Schizosaccharomyces pombe: one gene and its partners. Changing the gene in region 2 together with the main gene of any one other region gives a genetic interaction. Each region holds a gene or a part of one and is shown on either strand. Other genes may lie near its edges. The genes, in order: csk1, fta6, cmk1 and apt1.

What was found.
Region 1: mutations in fta6 (region 2) and csk1 together harm fitness more than expected from each alone (negative genetic interaction), as found in Schizosaccharomyces pombe (one large-scale study listed by BioGRID).
Region 3: mutations in fta6 (region 2) and cmk1 together harm fitness more than expected from each alone (negative genetic interaction), as found in Schizosaccharomyces pombe (one large-scale study listed by BioGRID).
Region 4: mutations in fta6 (region 2) and apt1 together harm fitness more than expected from each alone (negative genetic interaction), as found in Schizosaccharomyces pombe (one large-scale study listed by BioGRID).

The regions. Positions count from the first base shown.
Region 1 is NC_003424.3:647,476-651,953, forward strand, and holds csk1 (cyclin-dependent kinase-activating kinase Csk1), read right to left. Parts: upstream 2,091-4,478; 5' UTR 1,919-2,090; coding exon 1,415-1,918; exon of another isoform or gene 1,355-1,414; coding exon 1,139-1,354; exon of another isoform or gene 1,027-1,138; coding exon 826-1,026; downstream 1-825. Other genes in the region: erd101 (EXS domain-containing protein), read right to left, coding at 1-202, 255-333; phosphatidylinositol synthase (CDP-diacylglycerol--inositol 3-phosphatidyltransferase) Pis1, read left to right, coding at 3,013-3,070, 3,718-4,373. UniProt on the Schizosaccharomyces pombe protein: Acts as a CAK-activating kinase that specifically activates crk1 of the crk1-mcs2 CAK complex.
Region 2 is NC_003424.3:4,781,408-4,784,816, forward strand, and holds fta6 (protein Fta6), read right to left. Parts: upstream 900-3,409; 5' UTR 867-899; coding exon 836-866; intron 789-835; coding exon 640-788; downstream 1-639. Other genes in the region: pheromone p-factor receptor Mam2, read left to right, coding at 1-327; ARP2/3 actin-organizing complex actin-related protein subunit Arp2, read left to right, coding at 1,648-1,695, 1,746-2,870. UniProt on the Schizosaccharomyces pombe protein: Component of the kinetochore, a multiprotein complex that assembles on centromeric DNA and attaches chromosomes to spindle microtubules, mediating chromosome segregation and sister chromatid segregation during meiosis and mitosis.
Region 3 is NC_003424.3:1,736,627-1,741,508, forward strand, and holds cmk1 (calcium/calmodulin-dependent protein kinase Cmk1), read right to left. Parts: upstream 2,675-4,882; 5' UTR 2,462-2,674; coding exon 2,298-2,461; exon of another isoform or gene 2,251-2,297; coding exon 2,196-2,250; exon of another isoform or gene 2,129-2,195; coding exon 2,038-2,128; exon of another isoform or gene 1,966-2,037; coding exon 1,635-1,965; intron 1,573-1,634; coding exon 1,206-1,572; 3' UTR 827-1,205; downstream 1-826. Other genes in the region: mdv1 (CCR4-Not complex subunit Caf4/Mdv1), read left to right, coding at 1-322; potassium ion/proton antiporter Kha1, read right to left, coding at 3,990-4,882. UniProt on the Schizosaccharomyces pombe protein: Important in cell cycle regulation.
Region 4 is NC_003424.3:4,081,172-4,085,240, forward strand, and holds apt1 (adenine phosphoribosyltransferase), read left to right. Parts: upstream 1-2,484; 5' UTR 2,485-2,514; coding exon 2,515-2,598; intron 2,599-2,638; exon of another isoform or gene 2,639-2,776; coding exon 2,777-3,259; 3' UTR 3,260-3,425; downstream 3,426-4,069. Other genes in the region: ted1 (phosphoprotein phosphatase), read right to left, coding at 312-1,604; alpha mannosidase Mnl1, read right to left, coding at 3,849-4,069.

The DNA of each region.
Region 1 (4,478 bases), 4.1 Mb from region 2:
TATCCAGCATGAAAATCAACTGGGCTAACTAAATTCGCCTTGAATTCAGTATTCTCCTCAAGATCCGTGTGCCTGTTAGATAAAGGAATTTGAAGTAAGTGATACCATTTTGAATTCAGAGAACCTCGTGGATTGGGAGAAATTGGTTGGTACCGATTCAGGATGTAAATTAAATGATAACAAACTGACCATAACCAGGTACCTAAAGAATAGAGATTGTTAGTATTAGTAAATTGAAAATCTTAAGTTCATACCGACTATAACCAGAAGACCTATACGAAACGGAAGCGCTAATTTGTGGTGCAAGGGAAACTCCACGACTTCCAAATCCATCTTTAAGCCGTCACTAGGCTAGATGCATAATTTAAAGTATTTGAAGAATGTTTTATTATCTTCCAATACAATTTTTAGCGGCATTAAATGCTCAGGTAGATGTGAGAAGGGAGGAAGAGTTCGGTACCAAATTGCGTAGTCGTGCACGGTTAGCATGCGCATCAAGCTACCAAAATAAGTATCTAAGTTGTGGGAAACAAAACAGATGTAGGCCTATTCGGTTGTTTAATACAAGTGATCAACCTAATGTGAGATTGAAGAAATGCTGTGCGTAGAATTACAGATTATCGTTGCGATTTATTGCACTAGATATTCAACGTTGGATATTACTATAAAACTCAGTATTATCAAAAGGAGTTTTTAATAAAAAGACAAAAGAATATTAACTGAAGCTAAGATAATTAATTCCTACGGTAGTATTGCCTACCTGTTTATTTCTACTGTCCTTTAAAATAAATTATGTATTTCCTACACCAATCCTGAGAGTAAATTTTATGCATATTGTGAAAGCCTAGCAGATACTTTAGGGAATGACTCAATCACGAAGGATGGTGAAGCCCGATTTGAGTATGTGACAAGATGCGAAACTATATACTGAATTGAAGTATCAACAGATGGTAAAATTTCTGACCAAGGTTTGGGTGGATATTCATGAAATATAAATTTATTCCAATCTGGGAAAGTCGAAAGTTCCTTAAAAACAGTTAGCAAAATCTGCATGAAACCCTATTATTTAAAAAAAAAGTCTAAAATGTTTTGTTTTTGTTCAAAGGCTCAGATATAATGTTAAAGATTTGAAACTTACAGGCCACATGCTTGGATTTGGAGTACCCAAAGTTTGAATAATACTGCTTGTTAACCTTAATTCACTAGGCCATCCTTCAGAAGATCCATCGTCAAACAAAGCTTGATTGGAAAATAGTTCAGCGATCAGAATGCCAAATGTCCAACGATCGACTTCATGACCATAAGAATGACAGCCGAACAAGGTTTCAATTGCTCTATAATGACCAGTTCCAATCTAAAAAAAACGTTAGAAATCTTGCAGGTTCGGCAAAATATAAAACTCTCTTTAACATACTTGGGGAATGAGTTCCTGCACTTCTTCTCCTGGATGCTGTTTGGACCAAGCAATACTGAAATCAGATAGATAAGCGGGGCCATTCATTGAATCCAATAGTATATTATTTGGATGAATATCACGATGCAGAATCCCATGCTTTTCTAGGTATTCAAGGGCGCTACTTATTTGCAATACGATCTTGCATTTTGTATCAATTGAAATTTCATCCATCACATCTGATAGAACAAACGATTTAAAACTCGTTATAAGGTAAACGGATCCTGCTTCATTGTCTATGAAAGAGTCCACTATCCTTTCAATGTGTGGATGGCCTATTGACTCTAAAATAAGCTTGCCTCTCATGGCATCGTGAGGTGGCCTTTTAAATACTAAACCTTGAACTTTAATAACATATAGTTTTTTGCTATTCTTTCTTTCACCCACGAACACTTCACTAATAGTGCCATCCGTCAGGTGCCTTATATCAGTGAGCCACGGAACGAAATGACCGACTGATTTCATTAAATTTATAAATTCAATCGTTCCTGATTGATTTCACTTGAAATTTTAAGCCTATCTAACAAAATAAAAAACAGCTAAAACGTTGTAATATAAAACTTTGAAAATTACTTATCGCAAGGTGTTTTACGCAATATGTTTTTCTTTTTATGCAATGTGTTTGGAGGTGAGGCTTACTCTTTTTACAAACTTTAATGAGAGCAGACATATAGATATGTACTGGCGGTGAAGGATGGCCACCAGATGAAAGCCTAACTGTGATCTCGCATGATGATGCTAAAAAGATATTGGATAATGCTTTTAAAAAAATATAAATAGATACCATTCTTATATGTACTTTATACATTTGTAGTACACTTATAAAGTCAGAGTATGAATTTTTGTAGTAAGGAAGAATACTAAGAATTCTTTTTTTATTTTTATTTTTTTTTCGCTTTGTTTGCTTGAATGAAAAAAATATCTTTGTGATAATAAGTGTTTTAATTGTTTTAGAGATCATATATGTGTCAAATGCGTCTACATTACCTTACTCGAATTGTCAAAAATGGTGAGATGTATAGGTTTAATCTTTTACTACTTTATCTGTTTCCAAAAATCGCTGCTGTTATAGGAAATTAGAAAAAATATTAATTTATTAAAGAAATATTAATAATGATTGTCTATGAAATGTTTTACGCAATGATGTTTCGAGATTATTACTGACAGTGTCAAAAAAAAAAAAAAAAAAAAATAGTTAAATCAAGAACTGTTTCTCAGTAACAGCTTAAAAAAATAGATAAATAATTTTATTAAATATTTTAATTCATAATTCTACAAACATGAAAGAAATTACTCGTGCAAAACCATTAATAATTGAACTGAGTCAAGGTAACCTTAAATAAGCTAGGTTATGATTGTCGCGCAAGTGTTTTGTTCCAAAGAAGGTAATAAGCTTAGCGAAACGAAAACAATCCTACGTTGGCCTTTTATAATATTAATTACGGTGATTTCGTACGGGCGGTAATATTTTTTTTGCGTATTCCAACGGAAAGCGATATTGCGGTAAGCTTTATGGCAGACCACTAACGCTGTATCTTCCTTTTGCAACATTAGTTACAATGGGAAAGAACGAGCAGAAAGACCCAAACGTGTACTTTTTTGTACCAAATTTGATTGGTGAGTATTATTCGGAAGTCTTGTTACAGCAACAAAGCTATGTTGAGCAAAAAGGTCTACATTTCCTTCTTTAATTATGTCTTACCCGGAAGGTTGGTCAAAGCCTTTTCGAAATGATACTTTTTTTTGATATTTTTTTCCTATCAGCTTTTTAAAGAAAAAAAAGGCTGTATGCTTTCTACATTTGTTTTGCCATTCGATGTAAGCAATTGAGCCTACATAGAATTCATGTTGCTCAAAGCACCAACTGAACCATATTTTAAGAAATATGCGAGTTAAATTTTTAAAGCTGTCAAATGATTTTCCTTTTTGCTCTGGGCAAGCTATGAGCGGAGTATTGGATACTTTGTATGCTTTTTCGGAAGTTAATTAAAATAATGAATGAGACTTTAGATGTGCGTAAAATTATTTGTTGTGCTTAATAATTTTAAGGTGTTCTTAGACTTAACAGATTTACTTACCCTTTTGAAAATAATCTATTGCGTCAAGTCAAGTTATCTCTATTATAAAAGCATCATTTTCGTCACTTTTCAAAATTACTAAAACTTTGTGAATCATTATCTTTTATGGCCTCTTTTCTCAATATGCTGAAATTAGCGCTGGACTTTCATTCTTATAATTGTTCAGTATTCTGACTCTTTGTTTAGGTTTTACTAGGGTTTTTTTGGTACTTATTTCGTTGTACTTTATGTCATGGCACCCAAATTATTGTACTATTGTGTATTTATACTCAAGTTTACTTGACGCTTTTGATGGTTGGGCGGCGCGCAAATTGCATCAAGCCACCAATTTCGGTGCAATTTTGGATATGGTCACAGACCGATGCGCCACCTCGTGCTTGCTTTGCTTTTTATGTGCTGCTTATCCAAAATATGCTATAATTTTTCAACTGTTAGTTAGCTTGGACCTTGCCAGCCATTATATGCATATGTACAGCACTCTTCATCAAGGTGCTTCCTCACACAAAACGGTAACAAAGAAGCATAACTGGATGCTGAGACTTTACTATGGAAACAATAAAGTTTTATTCATCTTTTGCGCTGCTAATGAGATGTTTTTCGTTGCTCTTTATTTACTATCTTTTACCCCACGTACTCCTCCCAAACTTGGCTACTTACCAGTTCCTTCCTTCATTTATTCGACTGGAGAGCTCCCTCTTTCCTATCCGACCCTTCTAGCCGTTTTATGTGGTCCTATTTGCCTTGCCAAACAAATTATTAACGTTGTTCAGCTGGTGAATGCTGCCAATGCCTTGGTTAAAATGGATGTTGAGCAAAGAAGGGCTGCAAAGAAGCTTCAATAAACACAGGGTTATCCTATTTTCATATTTTCTGTTTACCAAATTTTCTATTTTTAATCAGGATGGTTTCAATCTGAACATCCTCGACCTTAGATCTGCAAGCTTACT
Region 2 (3,409 bases):
CAATTTCCATTTGGTCCGATGCAGTGTATTTTAGTTATTAGCTGCCAATGTCTTATTGTTCCAGCTACCTTTACTATAATAGATAGTTTTATCCATACGTATGATGGCTTTAGCTCTATGACTCAATGTCTGCTAATCATTTCTCTTCCTCTTTCGAGTTTATGGGCGTCTAGTACAGCTCTGAAATTGCAAAGCATGAAAACTTCATCTGCGCAAGGAGAAACCACCGAGGTTTCGATTAGAGTTGATAGAACGTTTGATATCAAACATACTCCCAGTGACGATTATTCGATTTCTGATGAATCTGAAACTAAAAAGTGGACGTAACTTACGCCTGAATGTATCTTTTTTGATAATTCCTAATACTGGCTCAATAACAGTCCCAAATAACATAGACGGTTTTTTTACGATAGGCTTGTAATCATAATTTGCTCAGAGGGAAGTTTTCTAATGGTTTTTTTTTTTTCGCTTCATGAACAATTGTTTACTATAAACATCAATGAAATTATATGATTATAATAACTTATTATCATGAAAACTTCAAGTCGTACTTCACAAACACTTATTAAAACAATAGTGAATGAACTGCCTTCGTAATCTATAATGAACTATAATGTTTTGAGTCTCCAAGTGCTTACCTTACGAACTTTTTTTTTTATTTAAAGCTTCTTGTACCGTAGAAGCCATATCATTCATCGAAGAAGCTAATTCCTTTCTAAGCATCGTTTGCTTTTGTACTTTGGCCGATTGCATTAGCAGTTCTTCCAGACGTGATTTAAACGTTTCCACTATATACACGTAAGTATTGAGCTATTAAATAAAAATTATAACCAACCTGCTGACAATAAAATGTATTTATCCTCCATTTATTTTTATCAAATATTGTATCGAAATGTTTTAGCTGCGAAACGTTACACTCCTTAATTTAGTAATAGCAATATAATAAGGATCTTTAAACCGATATGTGTTATTCTCAAATTGCATTGCTCCACTTATTTCAGTAAACAGATGACAAATATTCAATAATGGTATATGTCGATAATTATAATTCTTTTGTTTAAGTCTTGTATTCAATTTAATGCACACATCTAGTTACTAGAGAAATAAATTCTTTATTAAATCGGTTCCGCGATTCTTCATTTTTGCACAGCGCTCCTAGTCATACCAATCTCATAATAAACGATCGAAGTGTTACCTGCACATTAAACAAACAAATAGAGTCCGTGTTTTTCTTTTAAATAATAGTAATACTATGTGAAACGAAGAATCTTTTAACTAATAAGCGATAATATACATTACTGCCGAACAATTATAAATGCACAGTTATGGCTTTGAGTATAAGGGGTAACGATACTAATGCTAAGTACAATAGAAGATAAGATCATTAACCGTAAAAACCTTTGAGCTATTCTTTTTGCAGCCAATTGTTAAATTAATTTAGATACTTCATTTCTGTTTTATAATTCTCAAGATTACTGCACTTCGCTTTCCTACGATATTACATATTTACGATATATCACCGAATGCTCTGCTACAGTTGCAGTGCTGCTGTGTCATACGGTATATGGCAGATAGTTACCGCCGGTACATTACATAGGGGTGGACTTAAGAACTAACCTTTCACCAACTACACGAGACGTTTATAAAATGGAGTCTGCTCCCATTGTTCTAGATAATGGAACTGGTTTTGTGAAGGTAATCAGTTTAATTAAATCTTTGTTTACACTGTGACTAACGTTAGCAAGGTCGGATATGCTAAAGACAATTTTCCGCGCTTTCAATTCCCATCCATCGTAGGAAGGCCCATTTTACGTGCTGAAGAGAAAACAGGAAATGTTCAAATTAAAGATGTTATGGTCGGTGATGAAGCTGAGGCGGTGAGATCTTTACTTCAAGTAAAATATCCCATGGAAAATGGCATTATCCGTGATTTTGAAGAGATGAATCAACTTTGGGATTACACTTTCTTTGAAAAACTAAAAATTGATCCGAGGGGTAGGAAAATTTTGTTGACCGAGCCCCCTATGAATCCTGTTGCTAACCGCGAAAAAATGTGTGAGACAATGTTTGAACGGTATGGTTTTGGTGGTGTTTATGTCGCCATTCAGGCCGTTCTCTCTTTATACGCACAGGGATTAAGCAGTGGTGTAGTTGTTGATTCTGGTGACGGTGTAACCCATATTGTGCCTGTCTATGAAAGTGTTGTTTTAAATCATTTAGTTGGTCGCCTTGACGTTGCCGGTAGGGATGCTACCCGCTATTTGATTAGCTTACTTCTTCGTAAGGGTTATGCTTTCAATCGTACAGCAGACTTTGAAACTGTTCGCGAGATGAAAGAAAAACTTTGTTACGTTAGTTATGATTTGGAATTGGACCATAAGCTTAGCGAAGAAACTACCGTTTTAATGCGTAATTACACCCTTCCTGATGGAAGAGTTATTAAAGTTGGTTCTGAGCGTTATGAATGTCCAGAATGTCTATTTCAACCTCATCTGGTTGGTAGTGAACAACCAGGTTTGAGTGAATTTATTTTTGACACTATCCAAGCAGCTGATGTGGACATTCGCAAGTATTTGTATCGCGCCATTGTTCTCTCAGGTGGTAGCAGTATGTATGCCGGTCTTCCTTCACGTCTTGAAAAGGAAATAAAACAGTTATGGTTTGAGCGTGTTCTTCATGGAGATCCCGCACGTTTGCCTAACTTTAAGGTTAAGATTGAAGACGCTCCTCGTCGCCGTCATGCCGTGTTTATCGGCGGCGCCGTATTGGCAGATATCATGGCTCAAAACGATCACATGTGGGTGTCCAAGGCAGAATGGGAGGAGTATGGAGTACGTGCACTAGACAAATTGGGTCCTAGAACTACTTAGAGTATATTTATGTTTAATGTTCTGTTTCTTTCTTTTTATGTGCTAGTAAATTGAGTTATACGAAGTTTGATTCATAAATTTCAAACTTTGCTAAATGATTACGTTTTCTGTTTAATCCGACCATCGTTAAAAGACGGTACGATTCCTTCTTTTATTTGCCTTTTTGATTCCTTTTTCTTTTGATGGGCTATTTACTTATGCTTGATGTTTATACAACCTTTTTGTAACCAACGATCTTATTTACTCAATATGCACTAGTACACTTCAATAGCAACAGACTTAATGACTAGACTCCCGTGACGTATATATTTGGTTTCGCCCATTTAGGGCGTTTTCTTATTAGGTCCTAGTTTTAACAAAAATAGCTTGACATTCTGAGCTTCTAGTTTTCTGAAGATTGACATCCACGGAAAACATGAGTAACATTTAAAAGCAGGAATTTCTATTATTGTAAATAAATAAATTACCGACCTAATTTTTTTGTTAAATTGTATATATAAACCATTAATAATGTGTCCAAGACAGCCTAGAAAAATTAA
Region 3 (4,882 bases), 3.0 Mb from region 2:
TTCCAACCATTTGTATTCCGGAAGCTATGACAATTCTGTTAGAATATGGGATTTACGAAGTGGCTCGCCAATTAATATTATACCTATGGAGAAAAAAGTGAATTCCTTAAGACTGTATCAAGGTCGTCTTGCTGTAGCATCTGATGAACCAAATGTTAGGATATTTGATACTGTATCTAATCGGAACTGGATTTGTTCAATTCCTTCTCACTCTGATTCCATAGCAGCCGAACCTAACTCAGTACCTACTTCTGTTCAATATAAAGATCGCTTTTTGGTGGATGGAAAGTCTGATGGATCTGTTAGCGTTTTTTCTGCTTAATTTGTATTTTTTATCCACACCTTTATTTATTATACTCTCGTTATTGTGTTGAATCTGGATAACGTTAATTTTAAAATTTTATGTCTTTATGCTTTGGTTAATGGGTATTAACTTCTGTTTGGTTTTTTTATTTATTTATGGACAAATAAAAAGGAACGAGACATTGCGAATAAAAAACTGTGATGTTAATTTTGTTCAAAATATTTAAAAAAATTCTCAAAGCAAATTGTTTGATCACCACCTCCCTTCTGCTTCTTATACTGTAGGTTTAAAATTTAGTAAATAAAAATCTTTTCTAGTTTACATTTTTTTGGTTTTACTAGTATGAAGTACGCAACCTCATTCTGATCTGAGATGTTGTATTTCATTTTGTTGATCCAGTTTACAAAACACGCTCAGCGTGTTTAATGTCAACTACACATAATAAGTATTGAAGAATCTTTTTGAAATTAGCAATTTGAACTCACACAGTGAGTAAAATATGGAAATAACCAAGCTCTTTTTATATTTCAGATTAACTGAATGGTCATTTTATTTTTGAAGCATAAATAGTCATAAATGCTAAAATTTCAAAATTTTACATCTGCAATATATATAGAGAATTAAACAACTGCGTTCATCTGTCGTCAACAGTCTAACAATGTCAGAAAACTGGTAGCGTTACTTTTTAAAACATCGACATAACTTTTAGCATTTTGTATGAGGCTATTTTAAAAACTAAGTAGAGAACATGATAGGTCCAAGCATTCCAAATCACAAAGAATATATTTAACATGTAAGAGTGTTAATACCAAAAAAGTATGTACTGAGGGCAAAAGATAATAAAGAAGTCATAAGTCATAACAAGATAAAATAAGAAAGTTATAAGAAAAGATGTGTATAATTAATGCTTATTCTCAAGCTTTTTCCAAGTGTTGAAAGCACGTACAGCGTTATAGGCAGTACGGAACGTTTTTCTTGCATTGAAATTTTCCCGGACGTTTGGAAGCAAATTGGAGGTTGCGGGACGCTTTTCAGACAGGAAGGGGTGCTTCAACGCATCAGCAGCAGTTAAACGTTTCGAAGGGTCGTTTTCCAAACATTTTTTAATAAAGTCCTTGGCCGTTTCTGAAATGCCAGACCAGCAAGGATCGTTAAAAGTGTACTCGTTAGCTAAAATTGCTTCTATAACTTCAACCTGAGAAGGTCGAGCAAATGGAGTATAACCACTGAGTAAAAAATAAGTTATAACGCCAATAGCCCACATATCTCTATAAACAGTATTAGTCAAGATACATAACTTCTGAATTAAAATGGTAGTTGATCAACTTACACAGGTTTTCCATATCCGGTTCGACGAAAGACTTCGGGTGCCATGTACTCTGGTGTCCCACATGCCGTCATGAGCATATAGTATTGAGAATCCTCATAAAAGTGGGACAATCCAAAATCGGCAATTAACAAATCTGAATTCGGATCTTTAGAGCGATAAAGTAAATTTTCTGGCTTCAAATCTCGATGTACAATTCCATTGTCATGCAAGTACTTAACTGCTGATGTGGTAGTACGCATTAAAGCAGCAGCATCGGCCTCATAAAATGAACCTTTGGCACATATTCTATCAAAAAGTTCACCACCGGTGGCCAGTTCAGTGATTAAGTACACTGTTTCAAGGGTTAGTGAACAAAACACATCACAATAACATTTGATTCATCAAATCGAAATCGGAGACATACGATTATTCACAGTTTCAAAAAAATCAACCAAGTGTAAGATATTAGGATGTTCATAAGAAACACGTTTTAGAATTGCAATTTCATTCTTCACCTATACCACCAAAAACATGTTAGTAAACGTAAATAAGGATGCTGTAAGTACTTAAGTCTTTACTTACAAAGTCTTGTTTCTTCTCCATCATCTTTTTATTCATAATCTTAGCCGCATACATTCTATGAAAATTTGGTCAGCAAACAACTCGAATTTAAAATATACTTACTTGTTAGTTTCGATATGAACGGCTTCACGAACCGTCGCATATGTTCCGCCTCCCAAAACCCGACCGACACGATATTTGCAAGGTAATAGTTGTTTCTGATCCACCGTAGCCTTTGGAGCACCGTCTTTCAAGGCCGAGGTGTTTGGTTTGTATGTTTGCTGCATAGCTGTAAAGAATCAATAGATGAATTATTCCAATGCCAACGAAGGTAAACGTAAAAGGTTTCTCTTAATGTAAATTATTGTATTGTTAGATGGTGCCATAAACAATTCTGTACTACAGAATTCTTTTATGAAACCAAAAATGTAAAGGTATGTAAATGAAAAAAATCCCGTAGAAACAATAAAGAAAATATTATTTGCGCGAAGCAGGCTGTTGAGTTAAACGGTGGTTCAATAACAGAATGATCTAAGCAGCGCAATGACTGTCCACCAACTTATGACAATAAGTGCTTAGCCTCAACTTGTAAATATGGAAAAATTTGGAAAAGGTATATTGAAATCCTCGGATTTAACAGGATATTGATATTGAATGTACCCGAATAGTATTGATGAAGATAACAAGAAAACCAGCGTCTGATAAATACCGTCCAACTGATTTGCAATTGCAAAACCAGTAGTCTGCAGTATAGTCATAAATCCTGGTAATTCCCAATCGGTTCAGTAATTTCCGTACCTATTTTCCTCTTCTAAGAGAAAACAAGATCAGAAAGATCAAAATTACAATTAGCGTATTGAAACCACCAAACACTGTAACAATGCAACACAATTATTTAAAGAATTGAATTTAATTATACAATCCTTAAAAAATCGCAGTTTTATGAGCAATTGGCAAAACGCGAACTGCTTGAAATTTCGCTGATATTACCAGCTCATGAGAGTTAAGTAGATATAACAAGCCATCATGGCGAATATTGGTCACTAACGTATACCGTAATAATGCGCTATCCCATGCATTTTAGTTTGTTTAAATACAGTAAGCGTATTAACAACATAGAACAGAATACGAAAAGGTAACCACGTAACAAAGATTCATACTGTAACAAAAATTGTGAAAAACAGACTGAGTGTAAATTGAGCTAATAAAATCGATTTTGAATGATTACTTTTATAATCTTTTCCATCTTGGAAGAGGTATTTAGTTATTTGAGAAAGAACCGAACTACCTTCTGAAAGGAATACCATACATTTTACAATAGCAGTGAGTATGGTATGTTAATTTCTCATATGCTTCTTGTATGATAGTTAGTCGAAATGTATTGGAGATAATGTTGAAGAAGTAAATAGTAAAAAATGCGCATGCATGCTTGACTCCATTTGTTCTACAGTACTTTACCCTTGCTATGATATAAATTCAAAGTATCGGTTTAAACAGACGAAACCAATAAGGGTTTAAACTCACATGGGTTTTTGAAGGAAGATGAGTCTACAATGTAAACTATTCAACTCTTAAATAACACTTTTTGATAAATCGCGATATAGCCAAAAACTAGAAGAACCCTAAGTAACTTCTTCTTATTAAGGTATAAAACAAGTTTTCTACATTGCGAATAACGAATAGAGATGAATGCATTAATTCTAACATTGAAAATAATATAGTCGATCCTTTGGATTCCAAATAAATTATGAAAACCATTTAAATCATTAATTAAAAATAAATTATGAGATGGATGCAATAAAAACCTGAAATTAATCAATAACCTTGAACCATCTTTGTAGGTGCCTTCCCTAAAAAGAAATCTATTAATGGAAAATTGCTCAACAGCACTAACGGAATTAAACCTGCAAGCATACCAAATTCTGAGCTAGACTCAATGTAACCCAATTTCTTCATCTCCGACAGTGCAGCCACCTCAAGTTTTTCGCTCACAGCTTGTTTATCCCTACAGCCTAAAAACATGGTTATACTCTTTTCTGTCTCGAAAGAAGGGGTCAAGGTTGCAGGTTGAATAAGTTCATGAAGACAACTCAAAAGTGAGTTTAAATTTCCAAATTTTACTACATTAATCCTCGACCGAACACTATCTGTTACATCAGATAATCTCAAATCGAGTTTCGTATGTGTTTGAGAAGGAATAAAGGTCTGAGAATGCTGGTCTGTTGTAAATCCGTTTGGCTTAGTTATTTTTCGAATGTTTTTTCGAAGTTTCGGCCATACCTTAAAAGCTGAGTCATTATGCTTGCTTAACAGCACTTCACTTGTGTAAACGACATTAGGCAATGACGTCGCATAATCATCTTTATAGAATTCATCATATGTGTAAATATAGGCTATACTCGTCTCTTCATACAAAAACTTAAGTAAAAGCTCCAATGCAATTAAATCATTTTCAGTACCCAAATATATGAGAATTACAACCTTGCTTCTTTCATATGTAGAGCCTTTTTCTTTCACACTAATCTCAACCTGATCAAAGGACTTCTTGTCCTTTTCTAATTGTTCAAAATCATTCTTCGGTGAACCATACTCAGTACTACGTATGATAGGCCTAATTTTTTTCACTGATAAATTGTGAGGATTACGTGTGAAAAATACTCCAACTGGGATCCGGGCCATCTTTATTAAAGGAATCAACTCATCCAAAG
Region 4 (4,069 bases), 700 kb from region 2:
CCAGAGAGACATTTATATTTGCACCTAAATTAGATAACGCATTCTTGGGTCGCGTTACTATGGTAACATTGGTCGACTTTGTGTAAATAAACATCCAGCACTACTGCAAGAAAGTACAAAAATGACGTTAAATGTAATTAAGGCACCACGTTAATTCAATGAATCTGCAGGTTCTTGGTTAAAAACCAGCAGAATGGCTGGTAAAAAAGGTTGGTTTCTCTCAAATTCACCTAAAGGCTGGATATATTGCCTGTTTAAGAGGCTGGTGTAAATATAAAACTGTTCATTTGAACAATTAGTGCACAACAATGTTAGATATGTTGCAATGATATTACCAATAAACGTAAGATGGTAAGTACGCATACCGATATGTGAAGAGCCCACCAAATATAAGATGGTCCTCCGTGACTCAAGGTATAAGTGGCATATATGTCGGAACTGAATTTTGACTGTTTCAATGAAGCCTTCTTCCATCGTTGGCCAATGAGTTTTTGAATCAGAAATGTAACAACCGAGGGTGTGTTCTTGGAGGACTCTGTAAGAACATCATTTGTCGCGATCAGTTTGACAAAACCAATATTTCCTCCAAAGTACCCCATTGCGCTGGGTAATGTATGTTCGATGGCACCGTTCGGGTGTTCGTAGTCACAACCCATATGATCATGGCCAGAAAGGACCAATTTGATGCTAGGAATCAATTCAAAAATTTTCATAGTAGTATTATACGATAAATGATTTTGAGACTTGACCCGAAAATCCAATTGACGAACGATTCTCGGTTCGTCAACACACACATTAGCTGGTTTGTAGAGTGGCACATGGGTGAACAGTATGGTTGGAATAGACGGCTCTAAAGCAATGTCGAAAAGAAATTGCCAAGCATCCCTAGCTTCTTTTGAAAGAGCAAGTATACCTAATGATGAAAAACTTTTACTGTTAATAATATCGCTAGGGTTCGCATCGTAAAACTGAACATCATCAAGCGAAAGGCTATTTATGCCGATCACACGGACAGGAAATTTAGAAACATTGAAGTGCGAAACCCAATTTACCGGGCCCATAGCTTGTTCCCATTTGCTAATTTGTGCGTCTGAACTTTCGCAGCCATAGCCAATGTCATGATTACCCGCAATCGTCCAAACGGGAATGTTACCGTTTTCAAAAGTACGTGCTGGTAAACTGGAGTTTCCTACTTGCCAAAAGTTTTTTGCCCCAGTGATTTTTTTCAGTCTTTTAGCTCTTTTGTTGAATTCTTCGTTATCCAAGTGCTGAAAACTGACCAAGTCACCCAACAGAATCATCGCATCTGGTTGACCCCAAAACTGATTCATATGTACAAGGTGTCGTAAAAACAAATCATTCCCCCAAAGATCTAAAGTGCCTTTAAAAAATCCATTTGCTTCGATTTTATGATTCCCTTCAATCTGAGGATCAGCAACCCCCATAATAACAAAAGAATTTTCATCTTCGAGTTGCAGCTTTCTTGGCATTATGCCAAATAGTAGAGGATAGGCATAGTAGACAGCTAAAAAAACTAGGCAAAGATAATGTAAAATAGACAGTTGTTTGTTCAACCATAATAAATTCGGATGTCTTGCAAACATTATTGACTTAATTATGTCAACGTAAATTAAAAAAGGGAACGGAGAGAAGGAGCGATTTTTGGAGTGCCTATTTTTACTTAGGAGCAGACTAAACGAGTAATGTAGAGGCGTAAGATTTTGGTTTTTGCTTTACTTACTAGATTATATAAATGGTATACCACCATAAAAGTGTCAATAAAGCTTTTTAGAAAGATTTGCTTTCAAATAACAAGAAATGAGCAGAACAGAATAGAAAAACAAAAAGCACAAATGAAACAACAAAACTTATTTTTCTAATCCATGAAGCTAGTAAATGGGTAATTTATAGGTATAGCTGCAGTATTCGAACAAACCCACTGCTAAAATTTAGATTGCAAATCAATGGTCAAATGATTGATTCAAAATTCCTGAAAAAGAAGCTTGGTTCTTAGAAAAATGTGTATCGATGTTTGCCGTTGAAATTTTTTTCTGAATTGAATTAATACCAAGTGTATCAGTATAACTGGCTTAAACAAATTAAAAAATAAGCTTTCTACTGAATGTAATAGCAAAAAACGGCTAATAATCTTGACCGAAGTTTGTTTAATGATGAACAACGGATATGACTGAAATTGCTTGAAGTGTATATCAAACTAAAGAAGGAATACCTCAAAACATGGAGTTGTGGCTGACAGTTTTCACGAAGAAAGGAATGGAAAAGAGCGTCGAATTTCAAACATAAACGTTTCTTTTAGAGCTCGTCTTAGCTGCCAAAGTTAACCCGGTACACTACTTAGTATTAATAGGTGAATTATGACTGACGTTTTTTACATTAAACGGATGGTAACATGTTACTTGAAAACAGCAGTCCAAAATTTTCGCTGCATAGACGGTAACGGAAATTGAGTATTTATTTTTTTTTGTAGAAGTTTTTACATAGCAATTTACTAAAATGTCCGACGATAGAATCAATTACCTTAAGAATAAACTTGTTCAATATCCAGATTTTCCCAAAAAGGGAATCTTGTTTGAAGATGTAAGATTTTATAGAAGGAGGAAATGCGCGAGGTTGGATAGGAACGGTGATATTATTTTGCTCAATTAGCGTGAAGTTTGAATCCAAAATACAATTCGAGAGGTTATATTATCTTTACGCCTTGCAATTGCTTAAATACTCTGTTAAATTATAAACAATAAGATGCTAATGTTATTAGATAATGCCCATTTTTCAAGATCCCAGAGCCTTTGGCATCCTTATCGATCTTTTGCTTGAAGCCGTTGAAACTGAATTCAATAACATTGATGTGATTGTTGGTTTGGAGGCGCGTGGATTTCTTTTTGGACCTACGTTGGCTTTACGTGCAAATTGTGCATTTGTCCCTGTCCGTAAGCCCAACAAGCTTCCCGGTGATTTGGTCGTCGTAAGCTACAATAAGGAATATTCTACTGATTCTTTTGCAATCCAAAAGGGTACTATTAAACCCGGTCAAAGAGTCTTAATAGTTGACGACATTCTTGCTACTGGTGGCACCGCCTTGGCTGCTGATGAACTCGTTACTCGTTTGGGTGGTGAATTAGTTGGACATCTCTTCCTTTTAGAACTTACATTTCTTCAAGGACGTAAGCGTCTTATGGCTCCTACTTATACACTTCTTACTGGACAGGATGAAGCACCTGATGGTAGTGAATTTGCTTAAACTATGAACTCGAAGTATGTATAAGCATTTCTAATTTTTAACGTTATATTTGCTTTATTCCTTTTTTATAAATGTTTAGGGTTCTGGGTTTTTTTCTATGGTTTATTCGTCAAGCTAGGATTTTTTTAGTCTAAGTTGTAAATTGAATAAGTTATACATTTTTCAACTAGTATTCTAAAAAGTAGGATTTTTGTTAGCAAATATATATAAATCGGGTGGAAATCGATATCTTAAAATGAAAAAAAAGAAAAAAGGATGCAACATCATAAGGAGAAAAGCTTATAAGGGTCATAAAGGGTATAATTTTTAGAATGGTCAATACCACGCTTTTCTTTAATATAAATAGGTAGATACATTCAGCTTATTATAAGCCTATTGACGAATCCACGTTATAATATAGCCCTCGATTAAAAGTATAATTACAAGAGAAAGCTGAATTATCCAAATATACTTTTATTAAGTATTGAATGGATAAACATCTATAGGCTTTGAAATCACGCAGCACAAATATTTTTTAAATAGTAAAAAGCATATATGACCGCAAGTCTATACACATGCGTAAATAAAAAATCACAAAACAGCGTTATTCCTAGCTGTTTATGCATTTCAGACACAAATATAGGTTTGAAACTGGAGTTCCTTGGAAGTACGAAGGGGCGTCAAAGTCTGATTGACGCACAGAGACGTTGGCCCATTTAGAAACAAAATTGTTTTCATTTTTTAAGAGAATAGTCGGAGGGATGTATGGTTTAACCCAATTGAATAGACTGTTTTGAGAATGAATATTTTCTAACGGATTAATAAATTCAC